Linked DNA regions of Sus scrofa. The protein of the gene in region 1 purifies or fractionates together with the protein of each later gene. This does not show direct contact. Links are inferred from orthologs where the notes say so. Each region holds a gene or a part of one and is shown on either strand. Other genes may lie near its edges.

Evidence for each region. Proteins that work in one complex are often made in the same cells at the same time.
Region 2: the proteins of AAR2 (region 1) and EAPP purify together in Homo sapiens (affinity purification with mass spectrometry; 4 studies listed by BioGRID and IntAct, counting the BioPlex papers as one, with this or other methods). This does not show direct contact. The link is inferred for Sus scrofa from reciprocal best matches to the Homo sapiens genes AAR2 and EAPP.
Region 3: the proteins of AAR2 (region 1) and ZNHIT2 purify together in Homo sapiens (affinity purification with mass spectrometry; 3 studies listed by BioGRID and IntAct, counting the BioPlex papers as one, with this or other methods). This does not show direct contact. The link is inferred for Sus scrofa from reciprocal best matches to the Homo sapiens genes AAR2 and ZNHIT2.
Region 4: the proteins of AAR2 (region 1) and ECD purify together in Homo sapiens (affinity purification with mass spectrometry; 3 studies listed by BioGRID and IntAct, counting the BioPlex papers as one, with this or other methods). This does not show direct contact. The link is inferred for Sus scrofa from reciprocal best matches to the Homo sapiens genes AAR2 and ECD.

Annotation. Positions count from the first base shown.
Region 1 is NC_010459.5:39,497,282-39,501,851, reverse strand, and holds the start of AAR2 (protein AAR2 homolog), read right to left. Parts: upstream 3,154-4,570; 5' UTR 2,861-3,153; exon of another isoform or gene 2,378-2,860; intron 1-2,377. UniProt on the Homo sapiens protein: Component of the U5 snRNP complex that is required for spliceosome assembly and for pre-mRNA splicing.
Region 2 is NC_010449.5:65,238,708-65,243,298, reverse strand, and holds the start of EAPP (E2F-associated phosphoprotein), read right to left. Parts: upstream 3,091-4,591; 5' UTR 2,983-3,090; coding exon 2,909-2,982; intron 1-2,908. UniProt on the Homo sapiens protein: May play an important role in the fine-tuning of both major E2F1 activities, the regulation of the cell-cycle and the induction of apoptosis. Promotes S-phase entry, and inhibits p14(ARP) expression.
Region 3 is NC_010444.4:7,072,905-7,077,447, reverse strand, and holds ZNHIT2 (zinc finger HIT domain-containing protein 2), read right to left. Parts: upstream 2,792-4,543; 5' UTR 2,422-2,791; coding exon 850-2,421; 3' UTR 791-849; downstream 1-790. Other genes in the region: TM7SF2 (delta(14)-sterol reductase), read left to right, coding at 270-430. UniProt on the Homo sapiens protein: May act as a bridging factor mediating the interaction between the R2TP/Prefoldin-like (R2TP/PFDL) complex and U5 small nuclear ribonucleoprotein (U5 snRNP).
Region 4 is NC_010456.5:75,989,533-75,994,339, forward strand, and holds the start of ECD (protein ecdysoneless homolog), read right to left. Parts: upstream 3,091-4,807; 5' UTR 2,947-3,090; exon of another isoform or gene 2,660-2,946; intron 1,535-2,659; 5' UTR 1,522-1,534; coding exon 1,317-1,521; intron 1-1,316. Other genes in the region: protein FAM149B1, read left to right, coding at 3,327-3,373. UniProt on the Homo sapiens protein: Regulator of p53/TP53 stability and function. Inhibits MDM2-mediated degradation of p53/TP53 possibly by cooperating in part with TXNIP. May be involved transcriptional regulation. In vitro has intrinsic transactivation activity enhanced by EP300.

The DNA.
Region 1 (4,570 bases):
CTGACATAATTTTTGCCCTTAATCTTCAACACAACCCTGTACCATTTTACAGATGAAGAAAATGAGACTCAAAGAGAAGAAGGTTTTTGTGTCTTGGTTTAAGGAGCAAGAACACTCACTTCGAACACCCACTTCACAGCTAGAAAGACATGTTACAGAAAGTGTCGTGCTCACAAAAGGACCCAGTTAGAATCTGGGTACCCTGCCCTCCAGGCCAATGTTCTTTCCACTATTCACTCTGGATCTACTCTCAGATCTCCTTCTCATACAGAAGATGAAGTCAGAGAAGGCCTGAATGGTCCATTCTTATAACTCTGCCTAAACTGTCTTAAACTAGAACCCTGTCTAAAACCTGTTGTTGGAAAGTCCCCAGAAGAGTTGAGATCTACTCACTCAGTTTTCTATAAGCCCCAAGGAAAGCCCAGAAATGGACAGAAGGTGGAAAATGAGTGCTTAGTAACTAAAATTCACAAATGTTTTGGGTACTGGAGAAGTTTTCAACCACAACCACAACCCCCTTCTCCTCTTACTTATAAAAACCTAAAGTCCAGGGAGTGAACTATAGTGAAAGTGAAGTGAAACAACTTCCCAAAGGGTCCAGTCAGTGGCAGCTCTGGACCACTCACCCAAAATGGATTCAGGTAGCCTGACTGGCCTCAAATCACTATTTAGAAGAGAAAGACCTGAGAACATTTATGTTATCTACCTCTGAACTACCCATGAAGACACAGTGATAAAACTTCTGTAAGCAGACACTACCTTTATAAGAATTGTTCCAACATGAACTAATCTAAACAGAACATTATCTAACCTTCTAGTCCCAAGACACCTACCTATTCAATTCAATAAATAATCCTGGAGCGGCTGCACTGTGCCAGGATCTTCGCCGAGCACCAACAGAAGCTTTTGCAAAATAAGTAAAAAGTTACTGCCATCTAGAAACTTCCAACCTAGCCAGACATATAAACAAGACCCTAAAACTTCACAAAGAGAAGAATCAGCTGCCTGTTTAATTCTTTTTATTCATTTTAAACAAACAAAACAAAATAACTGTGAGGAAAAGAACCCTTTTCCAAAAATGTTAAGTGCAGGGGATTCCCTTTGTGGCACAGAAGAAAGGACTAGTATCCATGAGGATGTGGGTTCAATCCCTGGCCTTGCTCAGGCGGATCGAGGATCTGGCATTGCCATGAGTTGTGGTGTAGATCATAGACAGTGCTCATCCCTCATTGATGTTGCTGTGGCCTAGGCCGACAGCCGTAGCTCCGATTCAACCCCTAGCCTGGGAACTTCCATATGGCGCGGGTATAGCCCTAAAAAATCAAAAACAAAACAAAACAAAAAATGTTAAGGGCATATTTTATTGTCTTAATCCAAAAACCACTACGAATGACTCTCACTCTAAACTCACATTTTTTTTCAACTGCAAGTCATAATCCATTATTGGGTTAAGAAATCAATTTAGAGGATCTCAACAAGCATTAACTTTTTAAATAAAAGGGCAGAATTTTTAAAAATCAGAGTGCATTATAAGTTGTAAAGCTAAGTACTGTTTTCTGAAGCTTTGTGTATTTGTAATGGACTCTTGCTCACAACATAAAATGTATCTGTTACTGTAGGTCACAGTCAAGTTTCAAAGCCACTGCTCTGAATAATTTATCTTCATCTTCCTATTCCCAATATTGAATTCAGAAAGTATTTAGTAAATATTTGCTAAATAAACAGTTATTGGGAGTTCCCGTCGTGGCACAGTGGTTAATGAATCCGACTAGGAACCATAAGGTTGCGGGTTCGGTCCCTGCCCTTGCTCAGTGGGTTAACGATCCGGCGTTGCCGTGAGCTGTGGTGTAGGTCGCAGACGCGGCTCGGATCCCGCGTTGCTGTGGCTCTGGTGTAGGCCAGTGGCTACAGCTCCGATTGGACCCCTAGCCTGGGAATCTCCATATGGCGCAGGAGCGGCCCAAGAAATAGCAAAAAGACAAATAATAATAATAATAATAAACAGTTATTGCATTTAGAATAATTGCTCATCAATTAACTATCTTTGCTGGTGGCATCTGTGTGCTCCTCCTTGAAAACAACACTCCTTTTCATTCTATTTTCATAACTGTAGTTCTCTTCACTATGTCTTCTGCAGCTGGCACATGGCCTGGCACTAAGTAAAGGCCCTGGAATGCAGAAAGTCACATCCATCCACTTCTACCACCTCCTTACTCTAAGCTACCATATGGCTTGTCCAAAGAGTGACTGCTCCTCCAATCCCTTCTCCAACAGCAGAAGTGACCTTCTCAAAGAGCCAATCTAAGCATGTCACCGCCCACATTTAACATTCTCTGATAAGCTCCCCATGTGGCTCCTGGCAAACCAAAACTCTTACCATAAACCTTCAAGGCCTGCGTGGCATGGTCCCTGGCAACTCCTCTTCAGTCTGGCCCCTTTCAGTCCTTCAAACAGGAGGCTTCCGAGGATAGAAAACTCTTCCCTTCCCTCTTTCTCAAATCACCTTTCTCAGTCACCTTCTCAGCAAAGTTTCCCTAACCTGGGGCTAGGTCAGGTCTCCTATGACACACTCTCATGGTGCCCTGTCCTTTCACTTATCAGAGCAGCAATTCTGCAAATGTTAATAAAGGGCTGTCACCTCCAGGAGACTTAAGTTTTTTTGTTATGTCTAGCACTTACTAGACGCTTGGTAAACATTTACTTAATAAAAGCATGATATGCTTTTTGTAGAGGAGAAACAAAGGCTTGGTTTGGAAAAAAGATCTTATCCGAAGTTACAGAGAGTAGGACAGGACCAAGTCAAGCAGAGCCAAGGCTTCCAGGCCCCCCAAGTCCTAAGGTTAGGAAAAAAGCAAGTTACCCTGGGTACCCAAGGAAGTCCGGGCGACGGTTTATCTAGCGCCGGTTCCTCAGGGAGCAAGGCCCGCAGAGACAGTTGGGACTCACCACCGGCCCACAGACAGGAACGCCGCAGACCCGGCTGGGTGCCCTAGCTCAGGGCCCTCCCCGATCCCGAGTCGGGAAGAGAAGCGGCCCAGCCACACACAACGAAAGCAGAGCAGTTGAAAGACGACATGAGGCCGCACTCACAGACTCGGACCTTGCCCCCGGCTCAGAAACCACGGAAGCCACCGGAAGTTCTTCCGCTTTAGCGCCGGATGGGAGCAACGCGGAAAGGAGCCGGGCGGATCCCTCGGTCGCGGGAGGAATGGCCCGTGGCTGCCGGTTCCGCCTTATCAAACGTTGCCTTTCGCTACTTTTAGTTACTGGTTTTGGCTCCTGAACTGTGGATAATAACATTCATCAAACGATGCATTTTATATCCCGCTCCAGAAACACTTCCACCAGACATGGTTTTTCGTTCTCAATCAGTCAAGGTCTCTGAATTTGGGGTCAAGGTCATGGCTACCCAGTAGCCACTCAGAGCTCAGTCATGGTCCTGGTCAGCCAATCTCTATGCAAGTGACAGTGTCACTGCTGGCCGGTTATCACGGTCCCAGCTTCCAGCCATACTCAGCTGTAGGGGAGAACTTCTGAAACCCAGCCCAGAGAGAACCAGTCTCACAGTAGTCACTACATTGGTCCCTCCAGCCATAATCACCCAGTGTCCTCTGGCAGTGCAGGCCTAGTGTGTTATCTCAGTCAGGCTGTACATGCACATTGAGGGAGGGAGCCTGTCTTGTTCACCCTTGTTTTCCTGTAAACTAGCACAAAGACAGACCCAGCTCAATACATATATTATGCATTTAATTAATGACCATAATTCTTTATTAATTAGTGACTTTTATGTTGGGGCCTAGCCCTGTACTGGGTGGTTCTATCAGAGTTCAACAAAAGAAGCAGAGCCAGTAGGAGGTGTATAAGAACTTATTGAAAGGAATTGGCTTATGTAATTGTGAGGGCTGGCTAGCTAAGTCCAAAATGCACAGGGTAGACCATTTGGTATATGATTTCGAATCCTTGAACAACCCTAGTAAGCAAACAGTATTCCAAACGTACAGAAGAGAAAACTGAGGCTCAGAAGTTACACCGCCAGAGAGTGGTGGGGCTTGAATGCAACGCTCTGACTGGCTGTTCTTGTCCCCATGCTACTGCTTCCTAGCTTGTCTGTCACACTTTCTCAGTGACAGCTGGACATGCCAATCTGTCTCAGTCAAAATTCATCTCTTAGTGTGTAATAGACTAGACCGGGCCCTGCAGTCATGGTTAATCACAATGAGCAACTGCAGGATTAACCAGAGATGGCCTCCATCAGTTACAGCCATGCATGTCAATCTTCACAGCCTGGCGTGTCTGTTCCATTTCCTGCATAAAGAGGATCAGCTCCCTCCCCACCCCTTCCCATTCCCATTCTTAGATGCTGAGCTTGGTCAGTCTGTTTTCAGAGCTCCTCATTCCAGCTGGGCTATCTTCTGAGACTCCAGGGCACTGAACTGTGGACATAGAAGCTCTAGGTGGTAGTTTAGAAATTCCACCTGGTAGGTTGCCTGTCCATCCAGATCAGGTTTCTTAGCCTTCATACTATTGAAATTTGGGACCAGATTAATTCTTTGTTGTAAAGTGGCTGTCC
Region 2 (4,591 bases), on another chromosome or scaffold:
ATCATGCTCCATCACAAGTGACCAGATATAGTTCCCAGTGCAGTCAGAGATGTATTTGATTGTCTTAATTGGGAGGCGAGAGGAGCTACTGGCATCTAGTGGCTTATTCACCACCTGCTGTAAAAGAGGTAGATTCTCCAAGCGCAAATGGTCCTAAACCATGATACCAACCCAATGAATGTGTAGCACCCATCTGGGCCTCTCCACGTACAAGAGTTGGGAAGTAAGAGTGACTAACACAAACATGATGCTCATGCTTCTTGCTACGCTATGAGTTCTCTCCAACTCAGAAGTCTCATATGTTCTGCTGGTTTCCGTGAAACAGTAACAGGCTATAAAAGATTCACTTATAAGCAGGGTAAAATCAAATCCTGATAGACATCTCTTAAACACCTCTAACACAATCTCGCTTCTTAAAACAAGCATTCATTTCAGAGCCCTGAGTAGGGCAATAGTGCCTAATAACACGGTTTTGTTTCCACAGTATTTATTTTTACAGTTAGCAATTACCTTACCAGCGGCAACTGTCAGGGGAATATAAAGCATCCTTAAAGAAATTTAACTACAGGAGTTCCTGTTGTGGCTCAGCAGGTTACTAAACAGATGGGTATCCATGAGGATATGGGTTCAATCCCTGCCCTGGCTCAATGGGTTAAGAATCTGGCATTGCCACAAGCTGTGGCATAGGTTGAAGATGTGGCTCAGAACTGGTGTTGCTGTGGCTATGGCAGAGACCCCAGCTACAGCTCTGATTTGACCCCTAGCCTGGGAACATCCATTTGCTGCAGGTGTGGCCCTAAAAAGAAATTTAACTACAAAATGTAAACTGAGAGTTCCCACTGTGGTGCAGTGGATTAAGAATCTGACTTGGGTGGTTGCAGAGGGATGGGTTCGATCCCCAGCCCGTCACAGTGGGTTAAAGAATCTGACAGCGTGGCCACAGCTATATCTTGCATTCAATCCCTGGCCCCGGAACTTTCATATGCAACAGGTGCAATCATAAAACTTTTTTAAGTCGTAATTTGTGAATTTAAAAAAAATTAACACCAGAGTTCCTGTTGTAGTGCAGTGGAAACAAGCCAACTAGTATCCACAAGGATTCGGGTTCAATCCCTGGCATCGTTCAGTGGGTCAGGGATCTGGCACTGCCATGAGCTGTGGTACAGATCACAGATGCAGCACAGATCCCTCATTGCTGTGGCTGTGGCAATAGGCCGGCAGCTGTAGCTCTGATTCAACTCCTAGCCTGGGAACTTCCATATGCCACAGGTGCAGCCCTAAAAAGCAAAAAAAAAAAAAAAACAATTTAACACACAAAAAAAGTAAACTGACTTTAAGAAAAAAATAAATAATAACAGGGATGAGTATGGAGATGGCAAGGGCAGAATAACTCAAGTTCAGGAAACACTGTTATATGGCTATCAAACTGAATTACTTATTGATGCCCTCATATGCCTCCTTTCACAGACTGGGCTGTGAAATTAACTGAAAGAAATTCTTTTTTTTTTTTGTCTTTTTGTCTCTTTAGGACCACACCCACAGCATATGGAGGTTCCGAGGCTAGGGTCTAATCAGAACTGTAGCCGCCAGCCTACACCAGAGCCACAGCAACATCAGATCCCAGCCAGGTCTTCAACCTACACCACAGCTCACGGCAGCACTAGATCCACAACCCACGGAGGGAGGCCAAGGATCGAACCCTCAACCCCATGGTTCCTAGTTGGATTCGTTTCCACTGAGCCATGATGGGAACTCCTGATTCTTGGACTCCATCCTCACTCCCCACAACAGAAATCTTCACAGCAGCTCAACCTCCCATACCTCTAACCCCTCCACAGGGTAACATAAGTAAACACTGCAACTAAAGGAAAGGCAGTTTCACGGAAAGCTTAGTCCCACAGAATGTCTTAAAGTTAATGAATGAGAGTTCCAGTTGTGGCATGGCGGAAACAAACCCGACTAGGAACCATGAGGTTTCATATTCGATCCCTAGCCTTGCTCAGTGGGTTAATGATCTGGTGTTGCCGCGAGCTGTGGTGTAGGTCGCTCGAAGACAGGCTCAGATTCTGCGTTGCTGTAGCGTGGGCCAGCAGCTGTAGCTCCGACTGGACCCCTAGTCTGGGAACCTCCATATGCCGCAGGTTCGGCCCTAAAAAGTAAAAAATAATAAGGTTTATGAACAAGATCTTCTGACAGTTTTAAAAAATGGCTAAAAGTGCCTGGAAATCTCTCGTCAACATAACTGCAAATTTCCCCCAGACAAGATTAACCCCTCCCTCCTGGAAATTCCCACGGTACTTAATCTGTGACTATCCGAGGTCATCTTTTCCTACAGTACTCTTGGAGAAACACATTTATTTCCCAAGCATACATCTTCCAAAATAAGTATCTTATTTCCCCTACTTTACCGTAGGCCTATAGAAGACAAAAAATCTTATGATTGACCTATGTCGCCCAAACCAAGCATATATTAGATGCTCAAAAAAAAAGTTAAATATTCCCTTATTTCTGTTTACAGCAGTTTATTCTTCATGATGGTCACTTCACAGTAAGTCCCGTGAGCTTAACATATCTCTGATATACTTACTATACTTCCTTTTTATGGATGAGAAATCGAAGATAAGTGCTTTCCTTCGGTCACAGTGCTAGTAAGATGCAGAAGCAAGATTCCATCTCACAGCTTTTGAATCTTACGCATAATTCCAGAATACGCCCCTTCCCCGCGCGTGTGTCGGCCCCGCCTCCCCGGTGGCTGCGCGAACACACCAGAACCCCCTCGGCGTCCCACTGGTGACAGCAGGGAGCGACGGGCGTCCGAACCGCCGGGCCGAGCGTCTGCACCTGCCCGGCAAGCGCACTGAGGGGGGGGGGTCGAAGCCTCGAGGGCCGGGGCGGGGCAGGGGCCCACCTGCTCAAAGCCGGTTCCTCGTCGCTAGGTTCTTCAACTGCGTAGGGGTCGTAGTCACCTTGGAGGCGGTTCATGGTGGCCTGCACCCACCAACACCGTCCTCAGGCGTCGACAGGATATCTGTTTACTCCGCCGGTCCCTTCCCTAAAGCGCTCCTACACCACTTCCGCCAGCACTTCCTGCGCGCTTGCGCAGACCATCCCAGCAAGGGGTGGGGAAAGGGGAGCGTCCCAGTGTCCTGCTGCTGCGCCCTGCAGCTTCTGCTTCCTAGGAACCCGCTTCCTTATTTCTTATTCATTATTATTATTACGAAGTTACAGTCGGCACCCTCAGAAGTGGCAGTCTCTGAGATTAGCCCTGTACTTGCAGTGTGTCACGTTATGACGAGAAAACGCCAACATCTGTGTGCTGAGGAATTGTAGCCTGAGATCGGGGCCAGTAGGTCTCCAGACAGTAGCACCCGATGTCCCCAACCTTCTCTCCTGAAGTCCTTATGCCTTCTTTTCACGTGAGACTGCCTTTCCCTCACACTGCTCACTTCTCAGTCTGACCTCTGCCCTACCGACTACCTACCGAAAAGTTGCGAGGTCGTCACCTAAGTAATTGCCTTTACTTGGCCTCTTTTCCGTCCCGAAAGAAAGAAAGAAGTTCCCATTGTGGCGCAGCGGAAAGGAGTGTGACTAGGAACTATGAGGTTGCAGGTTCGATCCCTGGCCTCGCTTAGTGCTTTAAGAATCTGTCGTTGCAGTGAGCTGTGGTGTAGGTCGCAGATGGGGCTCGGATTCCGCGTTGCTGTAACTGTGGCCTAGGCTGGCGGCTGTAACTCTAATTGGACCCCTAGCCTGGGAACCTCCATATGCCGTGGGTGAGGCCCTAAAAGACAAAAAACCAAAAAAGACATTTTCCTCCCCTTTTTCTGTAGGCCTATACTCCAGGCCTGCCTCCTTACCAACAGCTCTCCCCTCTTCTTGATTCTAATCAGATGACTACCCGGTCTTATTTAATCTTTGCCTTCTCCCCCATGCACTGCCGGTTTTCCAATTGCTTTGCTCCATATCTCCGCCTGTTGCAGCGCTGACAATTCAGTCAGTGCAGCCCAACTCAGCTCAGCATCTTTCCATCCCATTCTTATACCTCACAAATAGCTACCTATGACCCAGTTTCTGCCTTTGGAAGTTCCTGTTGGGGGCAGAGGAAACAATTTGAGCAGTATCCCTGAAGGATGTGGGTTCAATCCCTGGCCTCGCTCAGTGGGTCGGGGATGGGGGTTGCCATGAGCTATGATGAGCGATGGTATAGGTCTCAGAGACTGCTCAGATCCTGCTTTGCTGTGGGTGTGGTGTAGGCCGGCAGCTGTAACTCCAATTAGACCCCTAGCCTGGGAACTTCCATATGCGGCAAATATCGCCCTAAAAAGCAAAAAAAAAAAAAAGTCGTATATTTAAAAAAAAAAATTTCTGCCCTTGGCTGCTTCCTCCATCCTCACAAGTGCCATAGACCAGAAGTCTTGGAACTGATTGATTCATTTCTCTGCCCCTCCATGAGCCCCAGGTCCCAAGTACTGCAGATCTCTTAGCAACTTTTCTCTCATCTACATTCCACCTCCTCACCCCTCACCTTGACTATTGAATAGGCTCTTAATTGACAGCCTTGTTTTGTTTTTGTTCCCTCTCCTAACAATGC
Region 3 (4,543 bases), on another chromosome or scaffold:
TGGGCCCCCGGCAAGGGCCGCAGGCATGTGTGGGGCAGAGGCAGAGGGGTACCACAGGATGCCCGAGAGGGGTGTGGAATGGAGGGAGTAGTTGGGGCTGGGGATGGACTTGGCGTGGCAGACCTCAGTGACAGCCTAGCGTCATCAGCAACCCCCGCAGCCCTTGGACCTGTCACCACTGAGCCCTGATGCCCCTGTGAGCCATGAACTGTGGAAACCTTTGTGATCTGGGGGGCTGGCTGAGTGGTCAGAGACCCCTCTCCCCCCAGGGGTGTCCCACCTGTTGCCCTACTTCTACCTCCTCTACTTCACTGCGCTGCTGGTGCACCGGGAGGCCCGCGATGAGCAGCAGTGTCTACAGAAGTATGGCTTGGCCTGGCACGAATACTGCCGGCGGGTGCCCTACCGAATCATGCCCTATGTCTACTGAAGTAGCTCCACGCACCCCAGGCCGGGCATATGCAGGCAGGCCCATCTGCCAGCACACCCAGCACCAGGGGCCTGGACATGCCTGGGACTTTAGGGCCGGCACCCTACCCCACCCTGAGCTCCAACAGGCAGCGGTGAACTGCCTCAGACAGGGGGTTGGAGCAAGGGCAAGATGAAGCCCATGCTCAAAAACGGAGTGGAGGGGCTGCTCTTCCCCCTTGGATAAACATCTGGAACCCTTGGTGGTGCTTCTCTTCCTTTCTGGGGCCAGGCTGTTTAAGAAATAGCTGGGTCAGCTCTGATCTGGGAGAAGCTGAGAGGTAGTCTGGGGGTGGCTGGGACAACAGCTGTCACTCAGAAATGGGCACCTGTGACAGGGCAGACCAGTCGCAGTTTTATTAATGACAGAGTGTCTCCAGTTCAGCCCGGGAGCTCCTCAATGAGAGTCCTGGGGGCAGGTGGCAAGGGGCCTCCCCAAAGCTGCTCCAGCTCCCCAGTGAGGGCTGCCACCTCCTCGGCTGCGACAGCGTGGGCTCGGTGTGCCCTGGCACAGTCTAGAGCCAACGGTGTGAGGGCCACTTCATTTTCGTTCGTCCAAGCCAGCAGGAACTGGCACTTCTTTCGGGCCCGGTAGAGGCGATCTCGCTCTTCGGTGGCCACGGCTTGTTTCCGGGCCCGGCCCAGGGTCTGAGCCAGGTCCCCCAGGGCTGCCAGCGTGTAGCCTTTCTGGTTGGCCGGGCCCTCACCCAGCAAGATGCGGGCGGCTTCTCGCATGGCACCCCGTGTGCCCAGGGGCCCGGGCGGATGCTCGCCTGCTTCCAGCACATGGGCTGCGGCCTGCAGGGCTTCCTCGGCAGAGGTGAAGACTTGCTGGGCGCCCAGGGCTCCAGAAACGCCGAGCAGCGTGGCACAGAAGTCGGAGAGCAGCGCCTCGTCGCCGCCGTGATACAGGGCCAGAGTGTGTGCGTAGGCGAACAGCACATTGGGCAGCTGGAAGCGCACGAGCGGCGACGCGCGGCCCCTGCTCAGGCTGGCCAGTGTGGGGATCCGGGTGGGCACGGCGGGCGCGCAGACCCCGGGGGCGTCTCCGGGAGTCGGCCCGGCGGCCGCGGGCTCATCCTTGACGGGTTCCGGCGGCGACCCCGCGGGGGCAGGCTCCAGCTCATCGGCGTCACGGCCCGGAGCATCACCCAGTTCCTCCAGAAGCCTCGGCCCGGCCCCACGACCCCACCACCACGGCCGCCACGGGGGCAGCAGCCGCCCGGCCTCGCCCCGGCTCAGCAGCCGCTCGAAAGCCGCCTTCTCGGCCGGGGCCAGCCGCTCCCAGAGTCCTGAGAGGCCGCCGGGCGCCGGGCCAGGCCTGAGGCCTGCGTCCTCGGGCTCATCCTCGGTCTCGCGTTGCTGACGCAGCCGGCGCAGGGCGCTGGCCAGGCGGCTGGGTGAGGCGCTGCGGCCGCGCAGCTCTCCCAGCACCTGGTCACGGTAGAAGTCTTCAGCGCAGGTGCCATGCGCCCGGTAGCAGCGCAGCGAGCAGTAGGGCACATTACAGCGAGGGCAGGTGTAGCGCGCCGGCTGGGCCTCCCCGGCCGGGCAGATACCACAGGGCCCGGCCGGCTCCATGGCAACTGGCGCCGCAGGCCACCCGGGAACGCACAGGATCGGAAACTTCCGGCGCTTCTCGGTTACTTCCGCCCCTCCGCGGGGCCGACGGAGCGCAGAGTCGGAGCCCTGAGGACTCTCGGCAGTTTCCGCCCGCACTCGGCAGTCAAGCCCCACCCCTCTCTCGAGCAGCGCTAGGGGAGGAGCGAGAGCTGCGAGCATCGTCAACGCCTCCCGCGGAGCCCCACCCTGCGCGCTGGGAAAGGTAGTGCGTCCCGCAGGGCGCTCTGGTGGTGCCAGCTCGCCCCCTAGTGGTTGCCTTTTTTGCACGATAAATCGCTGTGGCGAAACCCAATCGATCTTTGCTGAGCACCTATTATATGCCAAGCCCATTGGAGATGAGACGTCTCTGCGCTGGACACAAAGCGGAGTGGAAGGAAGGCCGAAGTGGGGCACCTAGTCTAGACTGGGCGTGTGTGTTGGGGACATTTCCCCCTCCTTTTTTTTGTCCTTTTTTTTTTTTTTTTTTTTTAAGGGCTGCACCTGCCTGAGCTAGGGGTCTAATCAGAGCTGCAGCTGCTGGTCTGTGCCAGAGCAGCAGCAATGCCAGATCTGAACCGCGTCTGCCACCTACACCACAGCTCACGGCAATGCTGGATTGTTAACCCACTGAGCAAGGCCAGGGATCAAATCCACAACCTCATGGTTCCTAGTCGGATTCGCTTCTGCTGTGCCACAATGGGAACTCCATTTAAATTTTTTAAAAATTATTTCCCTGATGCAATTTTTTTTTTCTACTGTACAGCATGGTGACCCAGTTACACATACATGTATACATTTTATTTTCTCACATTATCATGCACATTTCGCCTTTTAAGAAAGCAACATTAACAAATATCTGAGCTCCTGCTTAACTTTGCCCTCCACGCTAGGCACCGGTAACACACTGAGGAGCAAAAAGGCAGAGAGTTCCCACTGTGGTGCAGTAGGTTAAGAATTTGACTGCAGGGAATTCCTGTTGTGGCTCAGTGGGTTAAGAGCTCAACTAGTACCTATGAGGATGCTGGTTAGATCGCTGGCCTCACTCAGTGGGTTAATGATGCGGCATTGCCGTGCGCTAAGCTGCAGCGTAAGTCCCATAGGCTTGGCTCTGGCGTCGCTCTGGCTGTGATGTAGGCCAGCAGCTGCAGCTCTGATTCAACCCCTAGCCCAGGTAGGAACCTCCAAATGTTCATATGCTGCAGGTGAGGCCCTAAAATGAAAAAGAGAAAGAAAGGAGGGGGAGAGAGAGAGAAAGGAAGAAAGGAAATCCGACTGCAGCAGCACTGGGGTGCGACCATATACAAAAGGGTACCTGTCCTAATAGAGCTTAGTTTGTGGTAGTGGTGTGGGGGAGTGACTGACCCACAAACTGTGCCTCGATCCACGGCACCCCTGAAAGTAAGCTCTAGTTCTGTGGTCCTTCACTCACACCCAGTCCTGCCTTTGGGCTGCCTTCGAAATTCCTTGTCTTTATCTCAACATGGCCCATTTATTTGCCCACCAAGTTCTGGATGGATTTGAGGAGTCTGCTCATTTTTTGCACCCCCTCCACCACTGGTGGCCTAAGCTACTTATTCCTCAATTGGATGGCATCAGCTTAACTGGCTTCCTAATTTTCTTACCTGCCAGCCCTCCAGAAAAGTCAGCCAAAGAAAATACTAGACAAGTCAGATCACACGAGACCCTTGTTAAAACCCTTACCTGCACTTGGTAACTTTATATTGCACTTGGGACTCCAACCCAAACTCTTCTCCATGTCTGACAAGACCCTGCAGACCTGCACACACCTTTGCACACAGTTCTCTTGGTTGAACTCTCACCATCTCACTTCCTGATGGGCTCCTGTTTCAGGTCTCACATAGCCCATCCTCAGACCTCCCGAAAGATAGGGTATAGCTCTCCGCCCTCACACTCCCCTTCATTACAGCACCCTGCCTACTTTTCTTTGAAACTGTAACACTTTTAAGTATTTAGTTCCCTTGTTTTCCCCACAACATGCTAAACCCCTAGAAGGCATGGGGGCCAGTATCTTCCAGAACAATCACTACAAAAGACACAAATAACCAACATGTTTGTGTTTTCTACATGGCAGGCAGATTCGGATTTAAGCACTTGACACAATTTAATCTTCACAGCAACTCTCAAGAGATGATGGCAGAGATTAAATAGTTCATGCCAGTAAATAAATGCAACAAGTATCCAAACTCAAGACAGTTCAAGTCTAGAGCCTAAAGTCTTCACCGCATAACATGCCGTATTCCAAGAACCGGCAGACTCTGAATGGTATGCATGCATTGCTAGGAGGGAACCTAAATCGACCCCAGAGAACCCCACTTCTAGAAACACTGAAATAATCAAACTGATTAGGTTAGCAAAACCAGCCAGTCAGAACAAACAAAATCACTAGGACCAATTGGTTTACCAGCCTTCCCCCCCCCCCCCAAGTTGCTGACTCTACTCCACTGCTAAGAAA
Region 4 (4,807 bases), on another chromosome or scaffold:
GTCTAGACCGTAACCAGGTGTATAAAAGGAGCCATATTTGAGGAGTAATAACATGAGGATTTGAGCTTTAGTGCCTGACTGAATAGAGTGAAGTGAGTAGTTGAGTATGATTTTGAATTACTAATGAGCTTGACAGCTACATGGATAGCAATGCCATTAAGCAAGATAAGAACACCCTGTAAAAATAATTTTCTAGAAAAAAATATAAGGAATTGGCTTTGGATGTGCAGTGCTAATGTGACAATATTCTTGCCAATAAATATCACGTGTTTCTGTGAATAGGAGTTCAATAAAATTAACAGCAGGGAAGACATCCAGCAACTGCTAACCAAAAAATAAGCAGATATGCACTAAATTAAGAGCCAGAAGGACGGTATCATAAGACGTCAGATCTGAAACAAGACCCTACATAAGTCGCTGCATGAGTAGAGCCTTGGTCACCTCTCCATAATTCATTTTTAGTGAAGTTATAAGAAATGACAGGGCAAAATGCCCTACTGGGCCAGAGGTCAGATCTCAAGCACTGACAACACAGGAAATCAGTGAAGGAAACTCAAAATACTTCTGAGTGGGCCGATAATGGTCATTTAGTTCAATTATTTCTCTTTAGCAGCCAGGCAGAGCCACTCTAATTTTTTTAAACTTTTAAAAAATGTTTATTTATTTATTTATTTATTTTCTTTTTTGGACTCCCAGCAGCATATGGAGTTCTTGGACCTGGGATCAGATGTGAGCCACAGCTGTGACCTATGCCACAGCTTCAGCAGCAGCACTTCCCCACTGTGCCAGGCTGGGCACTGAAACTTCGCCCCACCACTCCAGAAACACCACCAATCCCATTGTGCCACAGTGGTAAATCCCAGGCAGAGCCACTCTTAGATCCTCACTAAAATAACTACGTGAAACAAGGCAACCTAATACACACACTGTTAAGACTGAGGAATACAGAGTAACAGCTAAAAGAACTATGGTTAAGGAAGACACATGCTTGAACCTGTTTAGTATAGGTACCTAGATACATTATGGCATAATTAAGTAATTAAATTTCAAACGAAGAACCATGGCTAATTAATATTGAGTATATATTAGTTCCTAAGGTAATGACTATTAATTTTCATCAATATTAATTTTAAAAAGTTTTTTTTTTTTTAAGTTCAAGGGCTTAACTGAATATAGGCAAATATCACTAATCTAAAAAGTTCAGGCTCTAAATCTCCTGACAACACTGAATGAAATATGAATATCATACATCACTGTTGTTAGAATGACATTAAAAAATCACACATATCCAATCAAAATAAGTGAAAGAGCCTCACCTTTCCCAGGTTTATATTTGAGATTGAAAGGCTGATTCTGCCAGATATAGGGGACCAGCATAGGTGCAAACTGGGTCATTATCTTCTCAATATAATTTTGAAGAATCTCTCTGTGTTTTTCTGGGTCCCTTAGTTCATCCGATATCAGGAACAGGCGGTACTCTACAGTATCTTCCACTGTAGCAAGCTTCATATTTTCCTCCATTCTTCTTTGAAAGCTACATTTAAAGTGGCAATAATATAAACCATACAAAATAATGCAGAAGTAATATCCCATTCCTTGAACTATTCTAGGCAATTCCATTAATGTTGTTTTCCAAAATTCAGTTATCCACATACAATCATCATGATTTTTGCCTTGACCACATACCAATTATAGCATTTAATTAAAATTCTTTCAATGACATTTTTATACTTACAATTATATGAAAGCAACTTTTGATACAATACAGTAAATGGAAATCTAGTACTGCATTCCCAAGTTAATAAGCGTGTAAAAATGAAATAAAAAATGTTTGCCTTTGCACTAATAGTGGTGCATGTAACACACGGTCAGAAACAATGCAATAACATCTCTTGAAATATTGACAAAAATTCCAGTTCTGCCACTGGTCCTAGTTGTGTCATTCTGGGCATTTCATTTTCTCTTTCTGGGGCTTCCCCCTAATTGTAGAATGAGAATGTTATTTTATCATTTCTAAAATCCGTCTCTACTTTCCTCCCTTCATCCTCTTCTCCCTCTCTTTCTCTCTCTTTACTTTCTTTCTTTCTTTCTTTTCGTTCGTTCGTTCTTCCTTTCTTTCCTGCCATGCCTGTAGCATGCATAAGTTCTCAGGCCAGTGACTGAACCCATGACACAGCTGTATTTAACCTCCTGAGCCACCAGGGAACTTCTTCCCTGAATTTTTATTGTTTAAACACTCTTAAGAGTAATCTCCCTTACTCTGCAGAATTTAAATCTTTCCCCTTGTACATCATGGGTGAATTCAAAACTACAAAACATTTATATCCTATCATTTCACCCCAAAATAATCTGCCCATGGCTCTTGATCCTACAACAACCCGTCCCAAACCACCGCCCTCCGCCCCTTTTCAGGTCTCAGAGGGTATAAATAACTGTTTTCTAAGGATTTCCCTTACAGACAAAAGTACTAGCTTACTATTGCTGCCAGGTGAGGCTTGTTAAAGAAAGATATTGCACTGGATGGTCCACTTTAAGGCTGTGATTCGATTTTCAGGCTTATTTGGTTTTCCAAGGAACTAATAAAACTAAGTCGAGAGGAACTTGCATCTTCTATCCAGACACTCACTACAGTCCAGATTGACAGATAATAAATACTCACCCACCCCAGAATGCCAAGCACACCTTATTATGAAGAATTTAGTGTCAGGCTAGAAGGGACTTTGAGATCACTCAGACTGACTCCACACTGTACATATGAGGAAACCGGGAGCACGGCAGGAGAAGCAACCAAGCAGCTGAGGCCGGACTAGGTTCTAGCGCTCTTTACTCAAAACAAGGGTCCCTTCTTCATCCAACAAAATGAAGCCAATTTCGCTTCCAGTTCTAAAGCCTGGGCCTCTTCCTCACGTCCCTGCTGCGGCACCTTTCCTCAGCCTTCTCTCCTACCTCGTGGGCTGCCAGCAGCAGCCAAAGCCCGGCTCTGACTGGATCCACACGCTTGTCTAGGACCTGAAGCCAGCGGAAACTTAAGTCAGAAACCGGCTCAGCTCCGGAACTCCCAGCGTCGCCTTTGCTAGGTGTCGGCGGGAGTATTAGGCGGCTGCACCTGTGCGTTCGTCACTTCCGCCCCCACGGGGAAACAGGGAGGGGAGAGGACTGGAGAGGTGGGGATCCTGGGGTGGTGGCGGTCCGGAGTCTAGGAGACGGGGCGTGACGGGGCCGGAAGGTGGCGGGAGGGGGCCGAGCCGGAGCTGGCGGGAGGGCCAGGCCCGGAGGCCCCCACCCTGGCTTGGCCGCCCCGGCCGCGGCTGAGGAGGAAGAGGAGGATGATCTCCAGATACACACGGAAGGCGGTGCCTCAGAACTTGGAGCTGTGAGTGGACTGCTCAGCCACCCAGCTGGGGCCGGGGGAAGCCGTGGCGGGCCGCAGGCGCTCTGGGGACCCTCCTTGACCAGTCCCTTGCTCCTTTTTCTTTCCCAGGGCGAGGGAAAGAAAAAATTCTTTGAAATTTTCTCCTCCTAGCCTTGCCGGACGTTGCCCCTCCAGACCTCCATCTCCAGCTAAGAGCGTGTTACCAGTGCAATCCCAGGACTTGACCCTCTTGGGCTGCACTCCCGGGGCTCAGGAACTGGGTTTCCTAAGGCATTTGTAGTTTCCGTTGTGTTCCATGCCCCACTTTCCATGGCCACTAACAACTCGTGAAGTTATTAATAACTGAGTCCTACAATAAAGTTGAATACGTCTAAAGCCAAACACCCTGCGAAGCGCTTACATGCATTAGCTTACTTAATCCTATCAATAAGGATACCAGATAGGAACTCTTATTTTGTACTTCCTACAAGATAAAGATCCCAGATCTGAAGGTTGTATCGTGCCAAAGATCACACAGCTAGGTGGTGATGGAGCTGAAGTATAGACCCGTTATCAGTCTGATTCTGAAGTTTGTGGTCATAACCATTACATACTGTCTCCCCACCTCTGCGTTGAAGAGTCAGAATCCTCAGGATCAGGTTTGCTTTTGAGACTTTAGAGAACAGATATTTCCAGCTTGAACAACTTAGTGAAGTGTTGTAATTTAGGAAGTAATGATAATGTCATACATTTATTAATGCTTTACACTTTCAGAAACTTTCACATCTTAATCTTTAAGATGGATATGACCATCTTCAATTTTCAGCAGAGGAAGTATCAGAAAGGTACACATCTTAAGATTATATAACCAATAGGTTTTTGAGCTTGGGCTTTTTAACCCCAAATCCCAGTTGTTGTTTTTCTCCACTAAGGTATGTAATTTTAGCAACCATACATTTATTAATTAAATATTAATTATATATGGTAATAACAGCTATGGTATTTTCAGTCACACCTGGGTTTCTGGTTAGACTCTTTTCTAGCCTTCTGAATTTTAGGCAAATTACTAATTTTTTGAGCCTTCATTTCTATAACATAGGAATAAGACTTTATCTAAAAGCATGTCTAAAATGATGGCATAGGGCTTGACATTTAATAGGGCCTCAATAAATGGTCATTTCCTTGTTCCTTCCCACCTTTATTTGGTGCAGTAGTCATACAAAGAAAATCAGTCTGTGATCTTTCCTTGCCTTTCAGAGGCTTATTATCTAAGTAATAGGACAGGACACAGAAGCAATTCAGATAATAAAGATTTTTAGGAACTAGGAAGAAGAAAGTCATTTCCCAATAAAGCAAATGTGGGTTAGCTAAAAATCTGCTTTTATAATTAATTCTGGCCATTCTGAAAGTGAAAAAAAATATCTTTCATCGAAAAAATTACTGATAGGCACTTAC